Arabidopsis thaliana: one gene and its partner. The protein of the gene in region 1 interacts with the protein of each later gene in a biochemical or structural test. Each region holds a gene or a part of one and is shown on either strand. Other genes may lie near its edges.

Region 1 (12,992 bases):
ATACACACCCAACTTTTTTACCTAAAAAGAATGGAGAAATTGAGCAATTTTCAGAAATCAGAACTGAGTAAAATGTGGCAAAGACGATAAATGGGCTTTTTTCAGGCCCAGCATATCATATATAACCCAATGGGAGATGAGAAGGAGGGAGAGATAAGACTGAGAAGCAGAGAACCGAAAGAAGAAAACAAAACTCTCGAAGTCGCAACAGAAAAGAAACGAGAGAGATATGGTGGTAGGCGGCGGAGGAGAAGGAGATCAGAAGAGAAGCAGCGGAGAAATGATGGCGATGGCGAGTTTATTCAACGATCAGCAGAATCCAATTCAACAGTTTCAGGTTAAATTCAAAGAAGTAGAAACTAATTTCAAGACATGGTTGTCGAAACAGTCGATTCCGGTGGAAGCCGCCGTCGTATCCACCATGAGCGGTGTACAAGGAGCTTTCATTGGTGGTCTCATGGGAACACTCTCTCCTGAAATGCCTCAAGCCGGCGTTGACCCTCAAGCCATAGCTTCGATGAAACAAGCTCAGGTTTCAACTCTATATAAACCCTATCCTCATTCAAATGTTTGTAAAATTGAGGTATGAGAATTAGGGTTTTTGAATCTGTAGGCTCTTGTGGGTGGTCCTTGGGTCCAAGCTCGGAATTTTGCTGCAATTACTGGTGTGAATGCTGGAATTGCTTCTGTTATGAAGCGGATTAGAGGCAAAGAGGATATTGAATCTGCGTAAGTTTCATTCTTTGTGATTTGGTTACCATTGAGAATGAAAGTAATGGTTTTAAGTTTGCAGAGTGGTGGCAGCGTTAGGATCTGGATTTGCATACTCATTGGTGAGCCAAGGATTGCAAGGACAACCTATGAATGCAATCACTACTGCTGCTGGTTTTGCTGTTTTTCAAGGAGTGTTTTTTAAAGTGAGTGATCATATTGAAAACTCTCTCTACTCATGGAAACTGTATATAAGCATTTTTTTTGGTTTGATTCCTTAGTTGGGAGAAAGATTCTCTAAACCGAGTACTGAAGATCCATTTTTCACAAGAGGAAGGACAATGCTAGTGAAGCTAGGTTTGGAGAAATACGAGAAGAACTTCAAGAAAGGACTTTTAACTGATCCCACATTGCCATTGCTCACTGATAGGTAATTATCTGAACTCCATGTAAAGTTTCTGCTAGCCTTTGTTTATGTTAGCAACTAAAGTTAATGACTTTATTAATCCAGCGCGCTGAAAGATGCGAACATCCCACCAGGGCCAAGACTTATGATACTAGATCATATCCAGAGGTTTGAATTCAACTTCTCTGATACTCCATTGATCAAATATACGAATAATTGCTGAATTTGTGGGAGCTATTCTCTGTTCTTTTGTGTATAGGGACCCGGAGATAAAGGGCAAACGAAAGTAGGAGCCATGTTGTTTAATCAAATATGTTTTGATGGTAACGATCTTCAAACACATATGTAATGCCTTTTACTTTTAGCTGCTATTGCCATGAAGAGCTCTTGTTAGATACTTCTGTTTCTATTACCAATGTTTGATTATCTTTAAAAAAATTGAGTAGTTCGTCTCAAATCAAATTGGATTATAGGTTCTGAATAAAACGAAAATGAAATATGCTTTGTATGAGAATAAGATGTTTATATTATGTATAGTTGATTGGCTTAAGATCAAGACTCGATAAAATTTTGGTTCATACAATTGGCCAATCACCAAAGTGATTCGATCAACTCTTGTTAAATTATTTGATTCTCTTTCTACCTAATTTGTACTGTTGATGTGAAGCTCCATTAATTCTCCTTTATTAAGAACAATAAGCGTGACCACGAAAGAAGAAACTTCGTAAGACGTCTCTGTTATGTCGTAATCACTAAAGTTACATGAATACAATAACGTTTTTTTTTAATGCGGTTTTTATGAAGGAAAATATTAATTTCCTATATCAAAATATCTCCATTAGAACAATAAGCGTGACCACGAAAGAATAAAACTTTCTGAGACGTCTCTGCAATCACAAATGTTGCATGAATTCGAGGAAATATAACTTCAAATTCCCCTAAAACAAATTTTTGTCAACATGGTTAAACACTTTTTTCTGGACATAATTTTAAAGGATTATGAAGAAAATGAAAATTTGTAATACTTATGCAAAATTTCTTTACATATCTTTTTAACACATTAAACTACTTGGATCCCACAATTAAAAAAAAAAAAAAAGCTAAAGACAAAATAATAATTAATCTATCTACGAATTCGTAACAACGACTTCAAGAGAGGAAGAAGAGAGACGAGAGATTTGGTCCATGAGAAAGACTATACGAGAGTGATAGTCACGCGCCTGATCTAAAGACTCGACCTCTAGCTCCGCCAGTTGCGAGCAGAGTCTCTCCTCGGCCTCCTCCGCCACCACCGTACGCCGCCACAGCTGAACCATCTCTTTCTTCATCTCCTCCATTTCTCTCTCCAACTCTCCGTTCCTCCTCCGTAACTCCTCCACTTCTTCCGCCGCCACCGTCACATAACCTCCTCCTTTTCCCATTATGATTATGTTTCTTGTATATAGACAACAATTTGAGTTAGGTGGTTTTGCTGCTTCTTGTGTTAAACTGTTAAATTCTCTTCTATGTGTTGATGGTCCTTTTAATAGGCATATTTTGAGTTTTGGTATTTGGGATTGCAAAGTGTCTAGGTTCAATGTATCTCGTGTTCTCTTCTTTTTTTTTTTGTCGACATCATTGTCTGTCTACTGCACGTGGTACATATCATGCAAGACTATCACAATAATTTATTCCTTTTGAATATCTGCATCTAGAATTATCTTCAAGCAATATTTAACATTAAAAAAAAAAACATTTAGATTAAAATATAAATTAGGTATCGTTATCAGAAAATATATAATTTAGATATGAACTAGTATTATACTAATATGTAAACACACAAAAGTAGATAATTATTTATACAAAATCAAATACACAAAGATATACCACACTAATGATGACGAATATTAATTAGATATATATACTAGTAACCTAATAGGTTTAAAATGTTTTTTGGGGGCTGTTTTATTACATTAATCTAGAAAATGCAACATCAGTACATACATATCCATGCATGATAGTATAAGTATATCTGGCCTATTGTAGATATGTATCCTATATCCCAAATTTGACACATTTAAGAGAAAATCTCATATTCTATCAAAATTTTCATATAATTTGCTCATAGTGATTAGGCAAAAATCTTATAGTTATATTCCTTAATAGCTTATTAAGATGTCAAATTTCTTTTATCATCATCACCATAATTATTAGATACACAAAAAATTAGAAAATCATATTAAGACGTTAATTAGTATTATGCGAATTAGTTGAATATTAGGAATCGGTGAACGTCGTGGAGATACATATGGGTGACGTCACCAATCACGTCGATGTAATTGTCATATCCCATTTCTTCGTGCCTCCAGTGGACCACTTCTACTTATCCCAAGTCAATGGCCGTCGCACCAATGAAACACGTAACGATTATTCCTACTAATTCATTATTCTTGAATCCACCAATATTAGTCATTAAACCCATTAATCTAGGCCAAAGTCTAAGCTATCTCTATTTCCTAAATTGTTCATGGAACTATAGTTAATTAATTACAGTTTGGTCACCCGATATCAAAAGAATTATAGCTTTGTAAACAGTCAAATTCGATAGTCGATATCGTAGACAAATGATTCCAATAATGGTAGATCCTTCTTTTCAAGAGATATCAAAATCAGGGATAAAGTAGCATAAGAAAAAAGCCAAAGAAGAAAAAAAAATCATGAATAATCGTTTGCCCAATTATTACAAAATGCCAAAAAAAGCTGCGACATGAACAAATTCGGAGCGTGGGATGATCACATTTTAGACCATACAATTTGATTGAGTTCCTATACTGTCCAGGTTCAATGTATCTGCTTTCTTGTCCGGTTTAGTCTTCCAAAATTACATACTGGCTCACTTCGGTTTAATTTATTCTAATTTGGTTCAACTTTGTTTAGAATGAAAAAAACACACACACACACATCTTTCTTGAAACAATTGAAGTTTCAATTCATTTTTGGCAGGCATGGTTTACTCCGGTACCGTTGTTGATTAAATAAGAAATGGTAATAATTTTAAATCTACGCATGGCATATTCTCATCGTCAACGGATACTATCTCAAATTTATTATGATCAAAACAGTTAATTAACAGCAAAACAAACAAAATCACGTCAAAATCGAATGTCAATATTCCTCTTAATTTGCCAGCACCACATATCTTCATACTATTTTAAATGATTTTTTTTTATATTAACAAAATAAATATATAATTAAATGAAATAGAAACAGAAAATGACCCTTGAACCAATGGAAAACTTACACAATTTCATGTTTCACGTCCCCTAAAGACTATTGTTATGGTTCCATAGAAAAATCATTGAACCATTCTCTCCTACGGTTTCCATTGACCACAAAAAAAAAATCCTGAAGTTGTGGAAAATTTCCATGAAACTCATGTACCCAAAAACCCTTTATTTTTTTCTACACTCAAGTTTCAATTAACTCTTCTACGATTCCTTTGAAAATTATGGTAATGTAGGATTTCATGGAATTTAAACTTCAAAGTTCTTCGATCCCCTTCGAGTCTCCAATACCTACTAGTTCCATAAAATTATTTTGATAGTTAAGATTGACATTAGATCTCACTCATATATTATTACTTCATTACTTAAACATGGTATCATTCCAAAATATTATTTGCTTCCATAAGAACTTTTGTAATTAAAAGTCAAGACAAAATATGCAACTAGTACCAGAAATACTAATTCATTAGAAATGGAGTTCAACAATTTGTATGATTATCAGAAATTCTAATTTATTCACTAGAAATGGATTCAAACATTTAATTTATGTTGAAAACATAACATATTACCATCGATCTATATACATGTATAGTGATTGTCACATACACAACTATACATAACTTATGAGAAATATCTTATTCTACGAGGAAGAGACGACAGAAGAAGAAGAGAGACGAGAGATTTGATCCATGAGGAAGAGCATGCGATCGTGATAGTCACGTGCCTGTTCTAAAGACTCGACCTCCAGCTCCGCCAGCTGCGAGCAGAGTTGCTCTTCCGCCTCCTCCGCCACAACCGTTCGCTGCCACAACTTAATCATTTCTGTCTTCATCTCCGCCACTTCTCTCGAGAGCTCTATGTTCCTCCTCCTTAGCTCATCCATCTCTTCCGCCGCCACCGTCACGCATCCTCCTCGGTTCGCCATTAAGATTCTTTGTGTAAAAGGATTTGATTGTGGTTCTAACTTTGTTTCTTGATTTGTTGAGTGTTAGGGTTTGATTATGTTTCTTTAATAGGCGCTTTGTGTAGCTTTTGCATGTCCAGGTTCAATGTATCTGCTTCTTGATTTTTATTTCTCCTCACTTTTGATTTCGGTCAATATTTTCTCCTTACTTGAAACTTAAACATACTCATGGCTTATGTATGCATAGACCACCCCAAAAGAGAAAATTTACTATTTTTTTCGAATGTTCAATTTTTTTTTTTCGTTTTTTTATCACAGTTTCGCTAGGTTCGATTTAAATATTTTTTATATGAAACTTAAACCAAATTAATTTCGAAATTTCCGGTTTATCCATGTTATTAACTAGTTTTAACTTTAAAATTAATAAACAAATTGCCGTCTATACAACTATAAATTGATAAATGGATAAATATATGTTAACGTGTAAATAGAATAGTAATTAATAATTCTAATGCCGTGGTTTACACAAATTCAATTTAATTATTTATAAATCTCTGGTCCGTCAAATTTGTAATAAAAATGTGTTGGTCTGATCTCTGATGTATGTATGTGGTATATATTGATTACATTATTGAGTTAGTAGGGCTTGAAATAGGTGACGTCTGAAGCCAATCACTATAGTGTTTCTCACTTTCTTGTGATATTGTGAGTTTGTGACAAGGATTTATTCTTTAGATTATTAACTAACAAGTTAATAATTTGGGAAAACGCTGCCGCTTAATATTGCGTTACTTATATTATGATTGAAGAACTATTATGGGATATTTCACGACATCATACATCTACAACCACTATAAAATAGAAAATTAGTGTACTATCACCAAAAATATATTTCTCCTGTTCCATGAAATTTGATGTTTTAGATTTTTTTTTGTTCCATAAAAATTGATTTCTTAGGTTAATATTATTATTATTTTTATTAATGACTAATAGAGAGAGGAAAGAAGTAGAAATTATATTATTAAATTAACAAAAAAATAATATAAATAACATAAAAGTTAATTTTCTTAATTTGGGTGAAAAACCCAAAACATCATTCTTTTAGGAACATAGAGAATATATAATAGACATTTACAACTTATACATTTGTTGATAACATGCAGTATGTTAGTTTGAATACATATTTTTCACAACAGTAATAATAACAGTTGTTAGAAGACTAAACTACATTGTAAGAATCGCTTTCTCTTGTAATGATACAATATAACATATAACATTTAAAATAAAATAAAAATCTGTAGGTTTTAAAATGTTAGCTACGTAGTCCATAACTTCAAAAAACCAATGGTTTTGAACTCATTCCATAGTGATGATTGCAAATACATATTATCTGGTTTACAAAAAAAAAAAAAAAGTGTTCCAATTATCTAGAAATGTTGGGCCTAATGCTTAAACAGTAAGCCCATATACTTAAACATCCGACTTGGCGCATTTGCTTCACCTTCTCTACCAAAAAAGCGCGTGAGATTCAGGTTCACTGTATACATTAAGAGCCTATTGTCTTGTCTCCTGTAAAACCAGAAGAAAACAAAAATTCAACAAAGGATAACAAGGACGTGGCTATTCTTCATTGGCTGCATTCACAAGAGTCGAATATTAATTAGTAATTTCACAGTATAGTACATTAAGATTAACGAGACCTATTGTCTCCTGTAATTGAGGCAACAAGATAAGGGTAAAACGAGAAAAACAAAAGAGAACAAAGACGTGGCTATTTATCATTGGTTGAATTCAATATTAATTTAATTAGTAATTTCACAGTGTTCTCAAATCGTGATCGTGTGTGTTTCTTCTACCTCTGAAACTCTTTTTGTTTATGTTGATCATCATCATCGTCATCTGCGTGTAAAACACACTCACGCCATCGTTGACGTCTCAGATCTTCACATAAAAGCTTCTATTATCAAACTCTCTTCCTCACGGTAACCCTAACTATCTGTAATTTATCTCTCTACACTTTCTTCATCTCTTAATCACCTTAATCATCTTAAGCTTTGTATTTCTAGATCCTTCTCCCAAAACAACGATTCGTGATCTCCGTTCTCATAGATCAGTTTCGGATTTGGATATTTCTTAGGGATTTGTGTGAGATATTTTTAGAATTGTTTCGATTTAGGGATTTGTGTGAAGAAGATGGATTTTCCAGAGAATTTGCCTTCAGATATAGGAAGATTAGAGCAGATTGTTTCTCATTTCTTCCCAAAAGCATTACACATAGTTCTTAATTCCAGAATCCCTTCGTTGCAATCTCGTGGTCGTACTCGTGAGCGTTTATCAGGTCTTAACGTTAGAAAAAGTGACAAATGGTTTAATCTTGTGATGGGAGATCGTCCTGCTGCGTTGGAGAAATTGCATTCTTGGCATAGGAATATTCTGGATTCTATGATTATTGATATCATTCTTGTCCATCCGATTTCAAACGATAATTTGGATGATGATGATGATCATAGTGATTCTGTTGTTAGATCAGCTGAGACTGTGATTGAGCGTTGGGTTGTTCAATATGAGAATCCTTTGATTATGTCTCCTCAGAGTTCTGACTCTGCAACGCGTTACCAGAAGGTTTACAAGAAATCTATCATTCTGTTGCGGTCTCTTTATGCACAGACTCGGCTTCTTCCTGCTTATCGTGTCTCTAGGCAGCTGAGTTCTTCTCTTGCTTCTTCTGGTTATGATTTGATTTACAAGGTTTCATCTTTCAGTGACATATTCTCTGGTCCTGTGACGGAAACAATGAAAGAGTTTCGTTTTGCTCCTGTTGAAGTGCCTCCTGGTCGTCTTTGTGCATCGGTTACTTACCGTTCTGACTTATCTGATTTTAATCTCGGTGCTCATATCACATTGCCTCCGAGGATTATAACTGATTATGTGGGAAGTCCTGCAACAGATCCTATGAGGTTTTTCCCTTCTCCAGGGAGAAGTGTTGAAGGCCATTCCTTTACTGGTAGAGCTGGTCGGCCTCCATTGACTGGTTCATCTGCAGAACGTCCGCATAGCTGGACTAGCGGCTTTCACAGACCTCCAGCTCAATTCGCAACACCGAACCAATCTTTTTCGCCAGCTCAGTCTCATCAGTTGTCACCTGGGTTACACGATTTCCACTGGTCACGTACAGATGCTTTTGGTGACAATCACCAGCTTTCACCTCCCTTTTCACCATCGGGTTCTCCATCTACTCCAAGATACATATCTGGGGGTAACAGTCCGCGCATTAATGTGAGACCAGGGACTGCTCCAGTGACCATTCCTTCTTCAGCCACGTTAAATAGATACGTTTCATCTAACTTCTCTGAGCCAGGTAGGAATCCACTTCCTCCTTTTTCCCCCAAAAGCACAAGACGCTCCCCTTCATCGCAGGACTCTTTGCCTGGGATTGCGTTGTACAGGAGTTCTAGAAGCGGAGAGTCTCCTTCTGGATTAATGAACCAGTACCCTACTCAAAAGGTTATGCTTCTTACATCTTATGTGTCTTGCTCAATGCAAGAAAAATATCACTATATTTTGTATTGCCTCATCTGATATTTTGTTGATTTATTTATATCTACTCTTCAGCTGTCAAAGGACAGCAAATACGATTCAGGCCGCTTCTCAGGAGTTCTGTCTTCGAGTGACTCACCAAGATTCGCGTTTTCTAGGAGCCCCAGTAGATTATCTTCCCAAGACGACTTGGATGACCCTGATTGTTCATGCCCTTTTGATTTCGATGATGTTGATGAGTCAGGACTTCAGTACAGGTTGGCTTTATCCCACTACCTAACTTGAATCATTCAAAGGAAATATTATATACTTGGATTAGTTTACAGAAATCTTTACACATAGAGCTGGTCAATGACAAGATGCCATGAAGAAAACACTAATGTGTTGGCTGTTTTGTTTAATGTGAAATTGTTGGCATTCACACTCTATACTTGGCCTTTCTCTTACTGTTTCTTTATCATTTTTTGGTCTGTCAAGTTCACTTCTTCTTGGGTTTTTTAGTCTTTGGTAGTAAGAAAATGACAGATATTTTGCAATTTTTTCGATGCAGCCATAGTCTTGACCGGAGGAAAACTTCAAGCTCTATATCGCAGTCGCTACCTCTAGGGAGAAGATCATCACAGGACGCAGCGGTTGGTGTTCTGGTTCACATGCTGAAGACAGCACCACCATTACGACAAGACTCAAGCACTTATATGGCGTCAATGTCTGGGGTTCAGAGAGAAGGTTCAGTGTCAGGTACAGAATCTGAATTTTCGATGGCTCGTAGCACATCAGATGCACTAGAGGAACTGAGAAACTACAAACAGCTCAAAGACTTGCTTCTCTCCAAATCCAAAAGTGGGTCTGGACCAACTCGCGTCCACTGAGCCAAATCAAAGAGCGATCAAGATATGAGTTATCCGATGGTTGTTTGTAGATATGAATTTGATGACGAATACTTAACTCTGTTGTATATTGCCAAAGAGCAATCACGTTTTGGTTTCTGTAAAAGAACTTGCCTTTGAATATGCACATAAAATAAACTAATCAAACTTGAATCTTTTCATTATGAAGTAGTGAAATTTATTGAGGGTTTTGTTGTTGTTGACAAATCATGTGAAAACCTTGTTTTCTCATCTGGACCTCTTTCTAGAAGAAACATGAAATACACAAATGTTGAAAACCGGTCACCTATACTCTTTTAAGATGAGTGTGAAACGAAGCAAAGAGTCACATTGATAGAGAGATCGGATGCATGATAGTTCCTACTGTGATAACAAGCTATTTGGGTATAAGGTCACAAGATGTGCAGCACAAAACGAGAGAGAGAAGAGTTTTAAACGCAATGCCCATTTAGATAAAAAGTACACCAAAAACACACACACAAAAGTCAGCTTCAAATAGCCATCCACAATAAGCCTTTGCATCTACACAAATTCAGCTTGTGCTAAGCTTTCTCCAAATCTTTGCGTTTGTTTTTTACACAAAATAAAGCTCCAAAGCCTTGCCTGCCTTTACAAAAAAACTGACCCAAAAAATGTGTCGTCCGTCTCCTGCACAACTACTGAGAAAGACAAAATCATAAGACCACCGCAGATAAGAAGAGATTTTAGTTTCGAGAAAGTAGCTCTTATAAGATATTTTACCTCCTCTAGATGGTCCAATGACTCTTTCTCAGTTCTCACGCATTCTGTTTTTACACTTTGATCACAAAGTTACAATTTCTAGCAGGCTTCAGAAGAGATATTCCCAGTCAATAGCGTCCCTCGAAACCCTTCTTCGATATCTTGAGCCCCCGGTTTCTTTTCACATAACTCATCTGTTAAGACATAAGATGAATAGTTTTACATGGACATCTCGCTAACCAGACAGCAGAATAATGGTAAATTTGGTTACCAGCAATATCGCGGTGTTCATGCATCTCTGTATCTCTCACCCAAAGCCTGTCGCCGGGGAATATGTTCATGTCTGCAAGGGTTGCAGATTCCTGATCAATCACTTTTGAGCCTTTGTGGAGTTCCTGGTTTTCCTTCATCACCTGCATATTTTATTGAAACCCCGTTTTGTTGTGTTTCTTCAAGTTATCTACAGAAACGAAAAAAACACTATGTCTAAAAGAATCTTACCCCAAGTAATTCCCATATCATCATCTTTAATTGGTATACAGTCGTTGTCGCAGACACTTTCAGGCTTGTCAGGTTTCCATAATTTGTTCTCCGAGATCGCTTTGAAGTACGCCGATCCACCTCAAAGCTAGAGTCAGATGCCTCTAACATTGCTTTTGGAGCTTCCTTTCCACGCACAAAACAGACAAATACATCTCCCTCAGAGTAACTAAGTTTCTGCATCAACTCACAGCTTTCTCTCTCTCCTATGCATTCCTCGCAAATCTAGCGAAAATAAAAGATCCTGTTAAATGCAACTCTAGTCATGAAGTCATACAATAATAAATGTGAATGCAAATGATCACACTTGCTTTTAAGAAAAAGAAAAACAGTATACCGTAACGCATCTGAACTTCATATATGGACCAATGTGAAATACTAAGCCAACATTGCCATTCAATATTACATCACACTCTCAAAATGTTGACCAAAAAAAAAGGCTCAAGATAATAATGCAAATACCTCTGGGGATGCCCTGAGAATAAGCTGTTGAGCATCAACGTCCATATTATCATCCGGAGAAGAATCCTTCTCAAGGTCAATGACGTCTGGGGATGAACTTTGGTCTGTATTGCCAACCTCAATAAAAGCAGATATTCCATTCTCCATGAGCCCTCCCCACTCGTCACAGAAATATTTCCAATCAAGCTCAGGGATGATTGTTAGCTTGTCTGTCTAGAAAAAGGTGCAAGAGTACTAGAGATTAGATCAAAATCAGAATTCCCCAAGTCTGCGTTTGACGCTATAAACAGCCAACACGAGAGAGGATGTAAACTGAATCCGACAATCACGATACCAATTTGTTAAATTCAGAACATGATTCCCTTTATTTCTCACTGAAAGAAAATCACACCACAGAACCACGGAACCATACTATCAGACACCTTACTTCCAAGCTCTAAAACCAGTCTCAAAACACACAGACACCTCCCCACACTTGATTAATCTCTTATTTATAATATCCTTACTTCTACAGAAATAAGTTATTTATGTTCATATGAAAAATATTTGTTGAAGCCTCTCTATGTTGTGATGAACACTTATCAATTTTCCATTCAGATATTGGCTTTACTGTATCAAACAGTTTAAAAATAGATTAGGAATCATCTCACGGTATATATGATGCACTTACAGATGGATTTTTCTGAAAATACGAGCCACGTCTGCAGACAAGTTCAGGGAGCCTTTCAAGGAGTCGTGTATGCTGAAACAAACAACCATAGGAACAAACCATTAGTTTTATGCTCATAGTGGGGGGATGAAATGAGGCCTGCTGAAATAAGACAGGTCATACCACCCGCGTTTACTAACATATATTGAAATATTTCTATGAGAGGAAATAGAGAAAGTGGTCAGGGACACTGATTTAGAATTAATCACTTCTGTCCACATAGAGCTTTACCCCCACAATATCTAACTGCCAGTAAATTGGAAACCGACTCACTGCCGAGCAACAGATCTTACCTTTTTGCATTTGAGAGTATTAATGACTCCATCAAGACGTTCAGGCTCTGGTGCTGAAGAACTATTTTTTCCAGTCATGTTAATATAGATTCTCCATTGCACTAGCCACGGAGAAGGCAACAAGAAATATCGGCTTTGTGGCGTTAATGGTATACCCTTTCCCGTGGCTAACTTCTCGTGATTTTGGCGCTGCTTGACCTTCAATGTTCTGTTGCATAAAATAGAAGGTAAGAAAATCTTTAAGAGTATAACGACCAACAAAAAAAATAACTAATCATGGCTAACCTTAGTGAATCCTCGAAGCATGCAACCTCAGAAAGTACCTCTGTGCAATGACAACATTGGCTGGAGTCCACAGGAAAACAAGTACAATCCAAAGTATCTTCTGACATCACTTTTAGAGCATCTTCAAAAAGGAATGACCAGAAATTCTCTGGAACTACAACTCTTTTGGCCCCTGGTGCTTGCTCTGGCATCAGCTCACCATGATTGCACGTAATAGCATTTGTGGGCCCCGCATCTGCTTCAGTAGGAGCATCAAGATTTTTCCTTTTTATCCA
Region 2 (12,992 bases), on another chromosome or scaffold:
TTAGACTGGAAAAAAATGCGTTGATCTGTTGTTCTGCTAACTTGTAAGAATGTTATGAACCCACAGTTCTCTATGAACTACTAACAGAATACCGACAAAAAAATGCCAACAGAACTTAGAAAAAAACATTATCGAAGAAAAAAACCCACTAAATCCTCCCAATATTAGTCTTGGTTACCACAAACCTAATGTGGCTTCTAATACAAGATGAGGATTTGTTGTTTGAGATGCTTTCAAAGTGTACGCCTTGAGTGCATCGTCCCAGCGCTGCAGCTTCTCATACCTAGAAACAAACACTGTTAGTGCTTTTCCACTGATTAGGATCAAAGAATGGAACCACACACAATCTTGTGACGGAATGCCTATCAAACAGAACTGAAAATAAGTGCATCATGATTCAGAAAAGCCATGTTACCATGATTCTTTTAATTGCACATCAAGATGTTGTTGAGCATAGGTTAGTATACCGACAGCAGCCTATACAAAGAATTCCAACCAATCAATAATAACAAATATCAAAGATGGTCGAAATAGGATACAAAATACAGTGTACCTCATGCTGGTGTAACTGATTATTTATGTGTATAAGAGCCTCGACAACAGCAACTGGGTTGGCATCCATCCTCTTGGATCGTGGACCTTCAAATTCCATCTCTTTATAATGCAGAGCTTTGGCAAAAACACGGCACTACAAAGTTGGAATATTGCACATTACCAAGAAAATCAGATGAATTCTTGATACGCAAATGAAAAAAGTACCAAATCTAATTTAACTAGCAAATACATAACGCAAACCTTTTCAGCAAGAGCCCCCAGAAGACGAATATCAATGGGAAGAGGCTTCTCATCATGTTCCATAAACTCTGCCTAAGAAGAGAAATAATAAAATCAAGCACAAGTGACAGGACCAAGCAACAGGATCACACATAAAGGTAGGTTGATATTGATTCTGAACTTATGATTGTTTATCCAACCTAAACGTAATATAGATTAAACGAAGTATAAGCAGATATTTGGATTATAGTGTTAATATTAGATTAAATAAAAATTACACGTCATGTTTCCATGTACACTCACAGATCGTTTTGTTGATGGTTTTAGCAACAAAAAACGTGTTTTACATAGAAAGATTAACAGGTGCAACCGCTAAAGAAATGGTGACCTAAGAAGTTTTTGTTTCCAGTCTTGGAAAATGTAGTCAACTCATAACAATCGCCTAAGCTAAAACACAAGCACTCAATAAGCACAAGCATAGCCACAGGAAACAAATTTGCTGTTCGTTATAGCCAGTGACTCAATCAAAGGTCTTTATCATGTTTAAGTTTTCTTGTAATGTAACAACGAACATACCAAATTGAGTAGTGTAGCTAAAATTTCTGGAGGGATATTTGGAGATGAAAAGGCCATTTCCAAGCTCCTAACTAACTGCTTTTGGCTAGACTCGTTTAGCTGTGCCCAGCAACTGACAAAGCCAGCAGCAAACAACTCTCTCCCGACAAATGGCTGCAAAACACAATCATTAAAATGCACCCTTTTGAGAGAGGAAAAGAAAGAGCATAGATGAAACACCTGCAACTGAGCAAGTTTTGCACAAGTTCTTAATGCTGGAGAGGGAGACTCCTTAAGTAATTCAATACTAAAATGTCTCATCCATTCCTCCCAATCTTCTTTGGTGCTGCGTTGAGAAGCTTCTCCAGCTGTCCGTAGTCTACCATCATTAACCTGTTCAGCAGATCATCAAAGCCATGAGTGAAAGTTTTAGCTCTTTCAAAACTAAGAAAGAACCAAATAAACTTTACTAGAGGATCATGTTAAATCAAGCCCATATATAGTTTTATTTGTTTTTAAAAGCTGAATGTCCATGGAGAAGAGGAAATATAGAGGACATATTTACAAACTCATTGAAGCAAATGGCTCAGGACCAAGACTAAGCTTCAATGAATGAACGTTGCTATAGATAAACCTACCCATCATTTAGATAGGAAAAAGAAAGAAAAAAAGATCCGCCTTATTCAGCTAAGGAACCCTACAATACACCCCATGTTTGCCTCAATGAAGTCATACTAATAATGACTATGCCGACCAGAAATTTTGTACAATGTTAGAGTAAAATCATGATTTTAACTTGAAACTTGATAACAAAATTTTCACACATTAAGAATCTATATGTGATTATATACGACACAGAAAAGAGTACCTGATGGTTTCTGTCAGTTCCTTCTTCGAAAGGATCGATCTCATTCTCAATTACAGGATCCCTGATAACCTCAACTGGCAGTCGCCTACTTAATTGTTGGGTTGCAGTTGTAGCTACAATCAATGGTTCACGTCTCCGCCAGCGAGCATGAATTTCCTCAAATTCTTTATGCTGAAAAAATGTTGTACAGTGAGATTTTACAGACAGAAGTTCACAAATGACATTTATAATACATGACAGATAAATTTTTGCTGCTATTTTTATTTAAAAGATAGTAAAATGCAAGACCCGCAATCGATGCTTCAATAAAAGCTTGTGAATTGATTCAATGAATATGGTGAAGTCCTCTCCAAGTGCATGAGCCAAACAGCATAGTGCATCGACAGCATCTTTCCGCAACTCATCATTCTTCCTGCGATTACAGAAGATATACCCCATAAGAATATTTATACGTACGAAACTGAAATCACGAGTAAGGTTTAGAAAAACGTGAAATGAAAATCCACTAGAAAACAATTGGGTCCCATCAATAATGGCAGATAAAATCCCATGATATTAAGAAATGTAACTAACATCTGCGGAGTTCTAATAACAAATACATGTGGCCAGAAAAAATTGTAACTAAGCAATACAAACAACTTATGGAAAACAGATTTGTAACAGTAACAATGACGGATTGAAAGTTAATGAGATAATAATAATTCCATCCTTTTTGATAATGCATTGTCAACCATTTAAGAGAAAACCAGATAGTGACACAATGCCTAAGTTTTGAAGAAGTATTGTAAGAAAACCCTTAGGAAAAAGTAACCAATATACTGTTTTTCAGATAGTGACAATCAGTATAACTCACCCATCTAATACTAGCTTCAAGTGATGCACGAGAGCGGAGATATGACCAGTAACCTGAGGATATATACGGATAATTAAAAGTATTACAAGAAGCTTAATATGGAATTTTTTCTGGATCAGCAAAGGGAAAAAAAAAATCAAAATAAATAACCAAAGCTCCTAACCTGAACACACGGGATTACTCTTGTCAAAGTTTTGATGGCATCGCGTCTTATAGCTACAGGAGCATCTACTTTAAACAATCGAATAAGTGCCGGAAGGAGTAAATGCATGTGCTCATCAAGAGTTCCTGCACATAAGGACTCTAAGGGTCAACCATCAGAGTGAAATCTGGCCATGGTGAGAAAATGGAAACTACAGGAGTAAACAATCTGACTATTCAAAGAACCTATATACCGAAAAAAAATTGGATTTAATAGATAAGAAACAAATATGCATATAATAACGAAACTACTTGTATCATCTTACACTACACAATCTAATAATGTGGAACCTCTTTACATTCTTGTAAAAGAACTGCATACGTTAATTACTAGAACTCGCATACCCAAGTAATATAAAATGACTATGAGGATGTCAAAACAAGATAAGTATTACTGACCGCCAAACACTTCGAGTGTGTGGAGAATATCAGGAACATAGGTGTAATCATTAAACCGCTCGGCGTCACCTAATACTTGGATGAAACATGGAAGGATGACTGGAAGATAAGTTCTGAATTCATCATTAAGTGCCAAGCAAAGATGTTCCAGTAGATGCAGAACCTGATTATCAGTAAGAGAGGCGAAGTACTCCCCATAAGATATCTGTCCTTAATCAATAAGAAACATAGCATACTCTAGGCAGCATACAACTTACCGGAAGACCACGTGATGGGCGTATGGGACCGGGCAAGGTGAAGGATGACCATAGTTCAGAGACTAATGAAAGCAGCTCTGGCAGATACTTGCGTATGTGCTGTACACAGATAACATAAGCTATGAGTTTACACAAAGTCGGTCGTATTTTGACCATAACTGAAAATATTAAGGTGGATATACCTGGCGAACAATGGAAACAAGAGTCCCAAGACCCCACGTAATGAAGTCCTTCAGGTTCTCATCAGATGTTCGAACAGTGTGAAAAAGCTCAGGTAAAACCTTCAAATTCAGAGGTGGAACCAACCCAACAAATTACCACAACGTAAAACAGAGAGAGCATTTATCGAAAAGCTGCCGGAGATACAATATTATTTACACCTACCTTCGGCAAGTAAGGCACGCATCCCAATCCCATTGACTAACCTCGCAAAAACAAAGTAGTGATAAAGTTGTAACCTCCTCATTGCAGTTCCAACACAAGTTTATTTTAAAAAACAGTCAAGATGGTTTTAGTTACCTTGAAAATGATCATCAGAGATCTAACAACCCTTTTGTGGTAACTAAGAAGTGATGCATCTCTAAGAATTCGCATAAGCGAGTTGATAGCAACCTATAACAATAAGGAAAGTAATTGAGCACAATTCAGACTACAAATGAAATATATTCACACAAATTAAGAACTACCGTTGAGTAATAATCCTCAGATGTAGCAAATGACGGCCGGAGTTCGACAGGTAACTCATCAATTGATGGAATAGGTTGACCAGAATCACCAGTGCCGCGAGGAACTTCACCATGTGATCCTGATAAACTTTGTTGGTTACGTTTATGCACATGAGGATCCAAAGCGCCCATAATTCCAAGAACCTGTAGATATAACCACGTTTATCACAAAAATATCTTCTAGAATAGTCTAGAGTAAAACAATTCTCTAGAAACTACCTTGAGCACTTCTCGTCTGGTAGACCACACTAAGTCACCCTTCAGCAATTTCAAGAGTAACCCAAGCAACAATGGGTATTCCTTGTATGGAGTCACAACATACCTACGTTCATAATGAAATTAGAGCCGTAAATAACATGCAGGGAGGATTGTAAACTTCTGGAACTCCCTTCATTTTGTACTAGTTATGTGCACAATAATTAGCACATGTCCCAAGCTACTAAACAGTAACATGCAAGTTGATCACCGCACTGTCTACAAATGTCTACAACTTCATAAACACCAGTGATACAGTTGATTAAATCTAGGCAGCATAATATCCTAGGTATTGGTAAATCAATCCTTTCGCACGACAAACAGAGAATACAACTCATGACAAGTCCGGACACAGAAAGGCAATATTCTTTCTCCGGAATAATGAGCCATCTCAGGAGAGACGGAAAAAAAACCATCACAAAGATCTACCGCAGATAGAAGAACTAGCTAGGGATAACAATATTGTCATTTCATATAGAATTTTCTCACTTTTAGTAGGTTAAAGGATAAACATAACACATATGTATACATTAACACATAAACAGCCTAAGGATAGCTCAGGCTTCTACCTAGCTAATAAGAAGAGATGGAGGCCCCGTTTGTGTCAAAAAATTCACTTAGAATCCAGTATTTTCATCTAGTCCAACCAGGCTTTCGCCAATCAAGATAGTAGCATTGTCTTAGTTTACAAGAAAATTAGCATGTTCAAAATTGCCTAGTAGCATTATCATATAAAACAAGAAGAAAGTCGTAAAAGAAGGTCAATATCTCATACCCTGTACTTTGAACAACTTGACCAAGAGTAGAAACAGCCACCTCACGTTTTGCTACAGCAGCTCCATCCATTAAAGCTTCAACAATTAAAGGCATCAGCTCCGGAATATATTGTCTCATTGCCAAGCCACCCTGAGCAAGCAACGCAAAAGAAAACCAGGAAGGGAATATCTTAGCCAAACACAATAAATAACAGGACAGGAAAGGAAATAAAAGTACCAACATTCTGTTAACTTAGAGACAACAAAAAATACAATATTAGATGCCGGCCAGGGCATTGAAATTTGAAATACGCTTAGCCAACACAGACTTAGAACACAGATAGAAATAGTCAAAAATCAGACTGCAACTTTAACGCGCAGCAAAAACGCAGTTATGTTTGAATCGACACTTAATATAGAATCTAAAACTTGCCAATTATATTTCAACTTACCACTCTTGCAAGATCCCCAACAGTTACGAGAACTCCAGTGACAATATTATTGTTAGCATTCACTCCAGTTCCTTCACTAAGTCTCGCAACAAGTGCCTAGAAAACAAGAGTTACAACCCCGTGAACAACAATAATAGCCATACTATCTAAGAAATGAAAAGAAATTAAACCTTTTGGACAGGGGCTACGTATGGAAGAATGAGCCGTTCACAATTTCGAACTAAACAACCAAGGAGCTTTGCACTCTCTTCCCTGCACTTGTTATCTGCACTGCTGACATTACAATTGAAGTCAATGCAACAGATACATAATCATAGGAAATGAATCTTCCCATATGAACTAAAAAATTTGTAGTTACCTCAGCTCAAGATAGGTCAACAACTGTATAAGATGGCGACGAAGTGCTGGAAGTACGTATGCTGGATTTTTTTCCGATAACCTTCCAGCAACTGAGATGGCATATTCTCGAACATCAAGGTCCTGTTAAACAGAGATATTGTAATATATGAATTGAAATGGTTCCATTGACTAGGCCAGATACTGTAGCCAGGTGGAGTGAAAGTGTGAAACATAAGCCAAACATTCTATCAAGTTAACAGGGTATCACATGATGCATCCACCAACAAAAGGCATTCATTCCATCCACAAATCATCCAATTAAGTTATCTCAGCTGCACTTTTCCAGTACAACTTAATAAGTAACACTGTTTTGTGACACAATAGAAGCTAATTCATAGACTAAAAGCCCAGCTACGTCTTGGTATCCAAATTTTGATATTAGGGGGAGTAATTAAATACCAACTTCATGAACCCATGAAATTGAATCTCAAAGAGCAATACAATTACAATAATTCACCCAAGAGAGACAAATAAAAGATCGGTAACAAATTAGGACTGCAGTATGACATCTAAGCTGCTATTTTATTCAAACAAATAACACAATCATACCTCATCATTTAAGGAAGCAAAAATGGCAGTCAAACTATCAGCCTGTGCTAGATAATCATCGAAACATTGGTTGCCAAATAAAGCAACGAATATAGATTTGCGAACAGTTACATCAGCATCTGCAACGGCTGTCCTGAGAAGCTTTTCCACAATCTGCAGAACCCAAACATCATTTCTCAGCAAGCAGAAAATTGGAACCGCCACTGGTATTGCAATTATAAATGCCATCACGAAGCATGTTTAACATACTTAAGTTCAGATTTGGAAAATAATAAAAAGAAACCTTTTGTAATGAGAAACAGTGAAATTAAAAGACATAATAAGAAAAAAATGTAATGGGCTTTCAGTATGATATAAAACCTCTTCCACAAGGCGCCTGCGTCTCCCCCCTGCTCGTGTTGACCTGCTCGAGCCAAATTGTGTGATGCCAGAAAGAGAATTTGCAATTAGTCTGCAACAACACAAAGCAGCATCTTTTCTTGTGGCTGCATCCTCATCATCCAAATAAACAACAACTGACTCCCGAGCAAATTCAAGAAGATCATGTCCCTGCCAGAAATCAGAAGCTCAAAGACAGAAATTTCATATTCTTTAGAAAATGTTATCCGCAAAGAGCGCCAACCTTGAAATTGAAACGAGCAAGAGTCTGCAGGGCTAGTTGAACTTGAGCTGAACAACTAGGGTCAGAAGACTGTGGTGCCATGCCCACTGTACTACCTCGGACAATGGTAACAGGAGGCTTTGCTTGAGAATAATGGGATTTTGAAAGAACCAACGAAATGCAATCTAGAAGCCGATCTTGTACTGTTGGCAGCAAAGAAGGAATGCTGAGATACAAAGAATTGTCAGCATTAAACGTATACACATCAATGTATGTAATAACAAACTTCTTTCGTTCAACTTTACCTGATGGTTATCTGGTCAAGAGCGTCAACAAGTGTGGAAGAGAGACTAGATGAAAACATAACATCTAAAAGATCTCGAACATGAGTTTCCACTGTGGATCCCATTGCCTTTGCGATGTTACCAACACAAGCCACAGCTTCAAGCAAAGGTCTGCCTTTACGTGGAGCAATCTACAGGGACAACATAGTCGAACAAAGCCACTTGTCTAGTTCAGTTTTCAAAACTAAAACCCAATATAATACTTTGACACAAAAGTAGTAAAACGTAATTACAAAATAAATAAATAAATAAATAAAATTTGACCCACCGCATCCCGCAGATGAGACATAATTGTCGGCAAATAATGGATAAGCTCACCATCCAAAGCACCAGCCATTTCCCCAAGGGCGATGAACCCACTGGCTCTTTCAGCCGGTATTCTTAACACAGTAAGAATATGATTCATGCATATCTGCAAGAAAGTAATTCGTGTCACGTTTCCAGAAATTTTTTGGTTTTAAGAATCTCTCAGTCACTTACCGTTAAATAGTTTGTCACAAACCGGTCACGGAGAAAGTGAGCAATGCGAGGCAGTAACGAGGTGATGCTAAGGCGAACAAGGCGATCACGATGTTCAAGGTATCTGAGGACAATTTCGGCAACTTCTCTATACCTAGACATCATGAACTCACCTGTATTCCTGCAAACGAACTCTAGCATTAAGCTGTAAACTCTAACACCCAATATGCCATGAAATCAATCTGCTTATAACAGAAAACAACGTAATTTTCGTCGTCAAGAGTCTTTTGTTCAGGTATACACTGAGAGTGGAGGAATATACATGAATTGCCTACTTTTTTAATGATGTAAACTACAATACGAAGACAAACTAACAAAACAACCCGAGCATCATGGGGACAAACAAGTTGTTCTACGGAAATATTCCAGAATCAAACTTGAGTGTCTGACTAAAAGAAAGGGATGCTTTCAAAATAGATAACCACTTCTGCATTTACCTCAACAGCTCCCCCACGGCAAGTAAAGAACCATGAATACTGTGAACCGGAGCATTTCTGCCCAACCCATCCTGTGTAGCTTCAAACATTCGATAGTACCTGTAAAAGCCAAATTGAGAGAAGATCAGTTAATAAAGATGGAAACCCCTATTGATAATTTGAAACATTGCATTGGCAATGATATATATAAATGCAGTAGAAAGTCTGCAAAACGTATCACCATGGGAAGAATATATATTCGAATATCATCCATTTTGGGGGGGGGGGGGGGACCACAGCATAAAAAGCTAATATAAGTTGCATTTACACAATAAAATATACAAAGTAGTACTTAAATGAGGGTGATTGCAAATGAAAGTATTGCAACAACACAAAGAAAAGCCTTGCATCAAAAATATCATACCAAATACATAACCTAAGGAAAACATTTCAGACATTATCATTTTCAAGGATAAGAGAATACTTACCACTGCACTCGCCATCGAGTCTCCCTTTTCTCAATAACACGAAGGCATGCACGCAAAGCTTCAACAGCTCGTTCTCGCACTTGCAACTGGGGGTCCCTAAGTGCAACCCAGATAGCATCCACAAATTCAGGGACATGAACGTTAAAGACAGTAGAAGCATTTTCGGCCATCTCCTGCAATGTTGCAAGAAAACATCCATATCCGTATTAACTTAGGATTGGAAAGTTATCATCACTATCATTTTTCAAACATCTATAATCCAATTTATTAGTTCAGAAGTTTCTTTCTGAGTAACTAAAAGAAAAAATGATCTGCTTATCTAAAGGATCGGGCAGCTGAAATCAGGATACCTTTAATATTAAAACGGCGGCGAAACGACGATATTCCACCCTGTCTACGCGAAGCCAATCAAAAGCTGTTTTCATCTGTGAAAACGAGATCAAGAATTGAGCAACTATGAGCCGAGACAGTGATAGGAAGGGGAGGGAAACAAACAATCTTACCTGAAACTCCACTTCATCAGAAGTCATTGCTCCACCTGCCCGAGCAAGGTGCCCCAAAACTCTACTAGCAAGCACCAAGATTTCAGGATCACGCTTCAACTCGAACACAGTCCTCATGTAACCCGCAAATCTAGAAACCTTAGTAGCATTCTCACCAAATCCAATCTCCGTCAACTCATCAATGGCTCTGAGTGCACCCATGTTTTCCGCCACATCAGTGCTCTCAATTAAATTAGCAATCCTGTCATATAATTGCTCCATGAACCTAGAGGAAGCTTCACCACTAAGATCACGAACTGCTTCCTCTACGTGTTTCCTAAACGCTAAAGGAGCTCCCTCCTAATACAACAACCAAAAATCATAAACAAAGTCGCATACTTGATGGAAACCAACAACAATAGATCAAAACCCACAAATTGCCAGACCTATAAGAACTAAAACTTCGAATTTTCCATTAACCAGAACAGAGAGATTCCGTCAGATAAGCAATAAAAGCAAAAGGGTTATATGGGTTTCTACTAAAGCATAAAAAGGGAGAATACTTTACAATGTTCTTCATTACCTTAGGATTACCACGGCTGCAAAGGTCAGCGATGACACGATTCAAAGTGTCAAAGCTTCCGCCACCAGAAGCGGTGGCTGAGGGACCACAAAAGCGGTGCGATTGCGAAGGGGAAGCCATGGATGCAGGCCGTCCAGCCACAAAAGATTGCGACGAGGTAGACATCGCTGCAGGGCCAGTCCAGCCACAAAAATCTTCCAAAAACCCTAAATCTGACCCCTTTTTGGTTCAACAACACTTGGGCAGAGAGAGAGTATGTACAGAGGAAGATAGAAGAATCTTCAACACATGATGCGTCGAGAACCGAAGATCGCAGAAGAAATCAAGATTTTTTCTCTTATTTTTTTACAAATTCAATTCGCTGAGTGTCTTTTTAGCTTTCTTAGGTTTTGCTTTGTTCTTTCAGAGACCAATTATCTTTGGTAAATAAATTGGAAAACCCGAAAGGTTTTTACTAGGAAAATATGACTTTTTCCTTGGAAAATTGTAAAACTTATGTTTGTCTATCAAAAACTTATAAATACAATATTTTCATTTTTTTTTGTCACTGATTAATTACTTAAAACCCTGAAAGGGTCTTTGTTTGGGCTATGTAATGTTTAGAATGTTTAATATACACTTGTCAAAGAAAAAAAATTACTTGTGAAAAAAAAAATAGTCAAAAACTCATATTTGTTCACTGGACAATAGAATAACTTTTTTTGTCAAGGAATAACTTTGTAGTTTCTTGAATAAGTTTTCTTTTATTGTCATTTCACTTTATTATTATTATTTCCAATTATGCTTTTAAGCAGATAAGGAGTTTTTAAAATGATCATTAAATTGTAGGAAAATAATAAACTATAGTTTTGTTGTAATTAGTAGTCATTACGAACAAAAATAATGGGGAAAATGAAAAAATTCAATTGAATGCATATGGTTAAGTTTGTCAACAAATTAAATAAATAAGAGGAATAATATCTATACAAAAAAATATCGAATATTAGTCAAATTTTGAATAAAAAATGTCAAATAATAGTAGAATTGTAAAATAGTTGTATGGTAATCGATATATCATATATTGAAAAATTGATGAAATGTGAATCATATCATTCAGTTAATTTGAATTGTTTTTCTTTTTTTTGGTATGGAGTGGATTTGAATTGTTAGATGTGATGAAACTTTGTTTTTCTATTCATAAAAATTCTAAATCATAGAAATCATTATTTATTCTCCAATGGTAAATTTTTGTTTTGCTTGTATGTTAAGTAGTATTCATATTCATATGTATAGGAAAAACTAAAGAAATGGCTCCTCCAAAATATAGTTCGTGTTTCTCCGTTGTTACAACGAAAATAATCACAATGATTGTGTATGACAAAATAAGCATTACATTCGAAAATTAAACGAAGCACATCCAACATAAAATTTCAAAAGAGTTGTGGCTTGTGGGAGGCTATAGCATCGCTTGGTTTCATCGTACACATCAAGGATGGTGAATAGACAGGGTCCAAGTGTTAACGTTGCGCAATCCCATAACGTGACAAGAATGTCGGTGAAAATATTGGTGTTCTTTTCTCTCCAAATTAATAAACTACAACTAAGAGTACTATTTAAAAAAGAGTTAAAATGACACAAAATAACTCAATTTTTTATATCATTAACGCATTATACGTATAGAATTTAAATAATAACATATACATTTCCATATAGGATAAATAACCTCATCAAAAAAAAAGAAGAATTTTATTATTAGTTTAGACTTTTTTGTCAATATTAATTTATTAGCTTCTTAAGTTTTATATTATTAGCAAAGGATAATGATGCCAACTATATACATGCGTGCTCCAACTTTTGGGACCAATTCATCTAACCTAAGTGATAAACAGATAGATAAATTATCCACTTCTAACTATTTTCCATCAGCTTATTTCAAAATTTAAAAGCTAAATCATTTCAAATCAAAAAGGTCTTTGGCTTTTTTTTATCCACTGTTCCATTATTTCTCTCTTCCATTAAAAAAACTGCATTTTACAAGATCTTTCAGTTTTTAGAAGTAATCAAGTATCAGTGCCAAAAAAAGCTACATTAAAATCTTACAAATTACAGTATACGACGTATTCCTATTTTCAATCGTTATCTAAGTAGAAATATATTTAATAAAACGTGTGAAATGTCAATAAAACAACAACAAAATGTACATACATTAAAAAGAATTCAAGACCAGCAAAAATATATATACACGTTACTATTTAATCTCTTGATATGTTTCCTGTATAAAAGAAAAAAATCTACCATATAAACCTCAATAACGATTCCAGAAATTATATCAAAATTGTAAAAGACAAAAACATTTAACTAAAAAAATCATATAAAGGAGTAAAGAAATAAATCTATTTAGAACACTAGAAATTTCAAGGTTAAGAATCAATACATACTTAAACTAAAAAAAAACTTTTATTTACCAAAAAATAAAAAAATAAAATAAAAGAAAGAATAATATTATTTCAATTTACACATCTGGAAATTGACAGGCGA

Evidence for each region.
Region 2: of the proteins of ATG13 (region 1) and TOR, one has a biochemical effect on the other in vitro, tested with the Arabidopsis thaliana proteins (one large-scale study listed by BioGRID).

The regions. Positions count from the first base shown.
Region 1 is NC_003074.8:18,370,415-18,383,406, forward strand, and holds ATG13 (Autophagy-related protein 13), read left to right. Parts: upstream 1-7,064; 5' UTR 7,065-7,477; coding exon 7,478-8,847; intron 8,848-8,896; coding exon of another isoform or gene 8,897-8,910; coding exon 8,911-9,078; intron 9,079-9,371; coding exon 9,372-9,690; 3' UTR 9,691-9,860; downstream 9,861-12,992. Other genes in the region: AT3G49560 (Mitochondrial import inner membrane translocase subunit Tim17/Tim22/Tim23 family protein), read left to right, coding at 230-532, 614-729, 794-917, 993-1,141, 1,223-1,285, 1,377-1,407; LSU3 (response to low sulfur 3), read right to left, coding at 2,245-2,538; LSU1 (response to low sulfur 1), read right to left, coding at 5,021-5,305; UBP26 (ubiquitin-specific protease 26), read right to left, coding at 10,528-10,622, 10,700-10,841, 10,930-11,193, 11,431-11,643, 12,101-12,172, 12,433-12,640, 12,718-12,992. UniProt on the Arabidopsis thaliana protein: Involved in autophagy in a nutritional condition dependent manner. The ATG1-ATG13 protein kinase complex regulates downstream events required for autophagosome enclosure and/or vacuolar delivery. Becomes a target of autophagy under nutrient starvation.
Region 2 is NC_003070.9:18,528,980-18,541,971, forward strand, and holds the start of TOR (target of rapamycin), read right to left. Parts: upstream 11,017-12,992; 5' UTR 10,641-11,016; coding exon 10,476-10,640; intron 10,253-10,475; coding exon 9,914-10,252; intron 9,836-9,913; coding exon 9,761-9,835; intron 9,584-9,760; coding exon 9,411-9,583; intron 9,043-9,410; coding exon 8,944-9,042; intron 8,628-8,943; coding exon 8,468-8,627; intron 8,400-8,467; coding exon 8,256-8,399; intron 8,119-8,255; coding exon 7,949-8,118; intron 7,870-7,948; coding exon 7,665-7,869; intron 7,592-7,664; coding exon 7,403-7,591; intron 7,196-7,402; coding exon 7,043-7,195; intron 6,575-7,042; coding exon 6,453-6,574; intron 6,365-6,452; coding exon 6,265-6,364; intron 6,191-6,264; coding exon 6,095-6,190; intron 5,794-6,094; coding exon 5,663-5,793; intron 4,955-5,662; coding exon 4,852-4,954; intron 4,777-4,851; coding exon 4,594-4,776; intron 4,520-4,593; coding exon 4,427-4,519; intron 4,328-4,426; coding exon 4,292-4,327; intron 4,189-4,291; and 26 more. UniProt on the Arabidopsis thaliana protein: Essential cell growth regulator that controls development from early embryo to seed production. Controls plant growth in environmental stress conditions. Acts through the phosphorylation of downstream effectors that are recruited by the binding partner RAPTOR.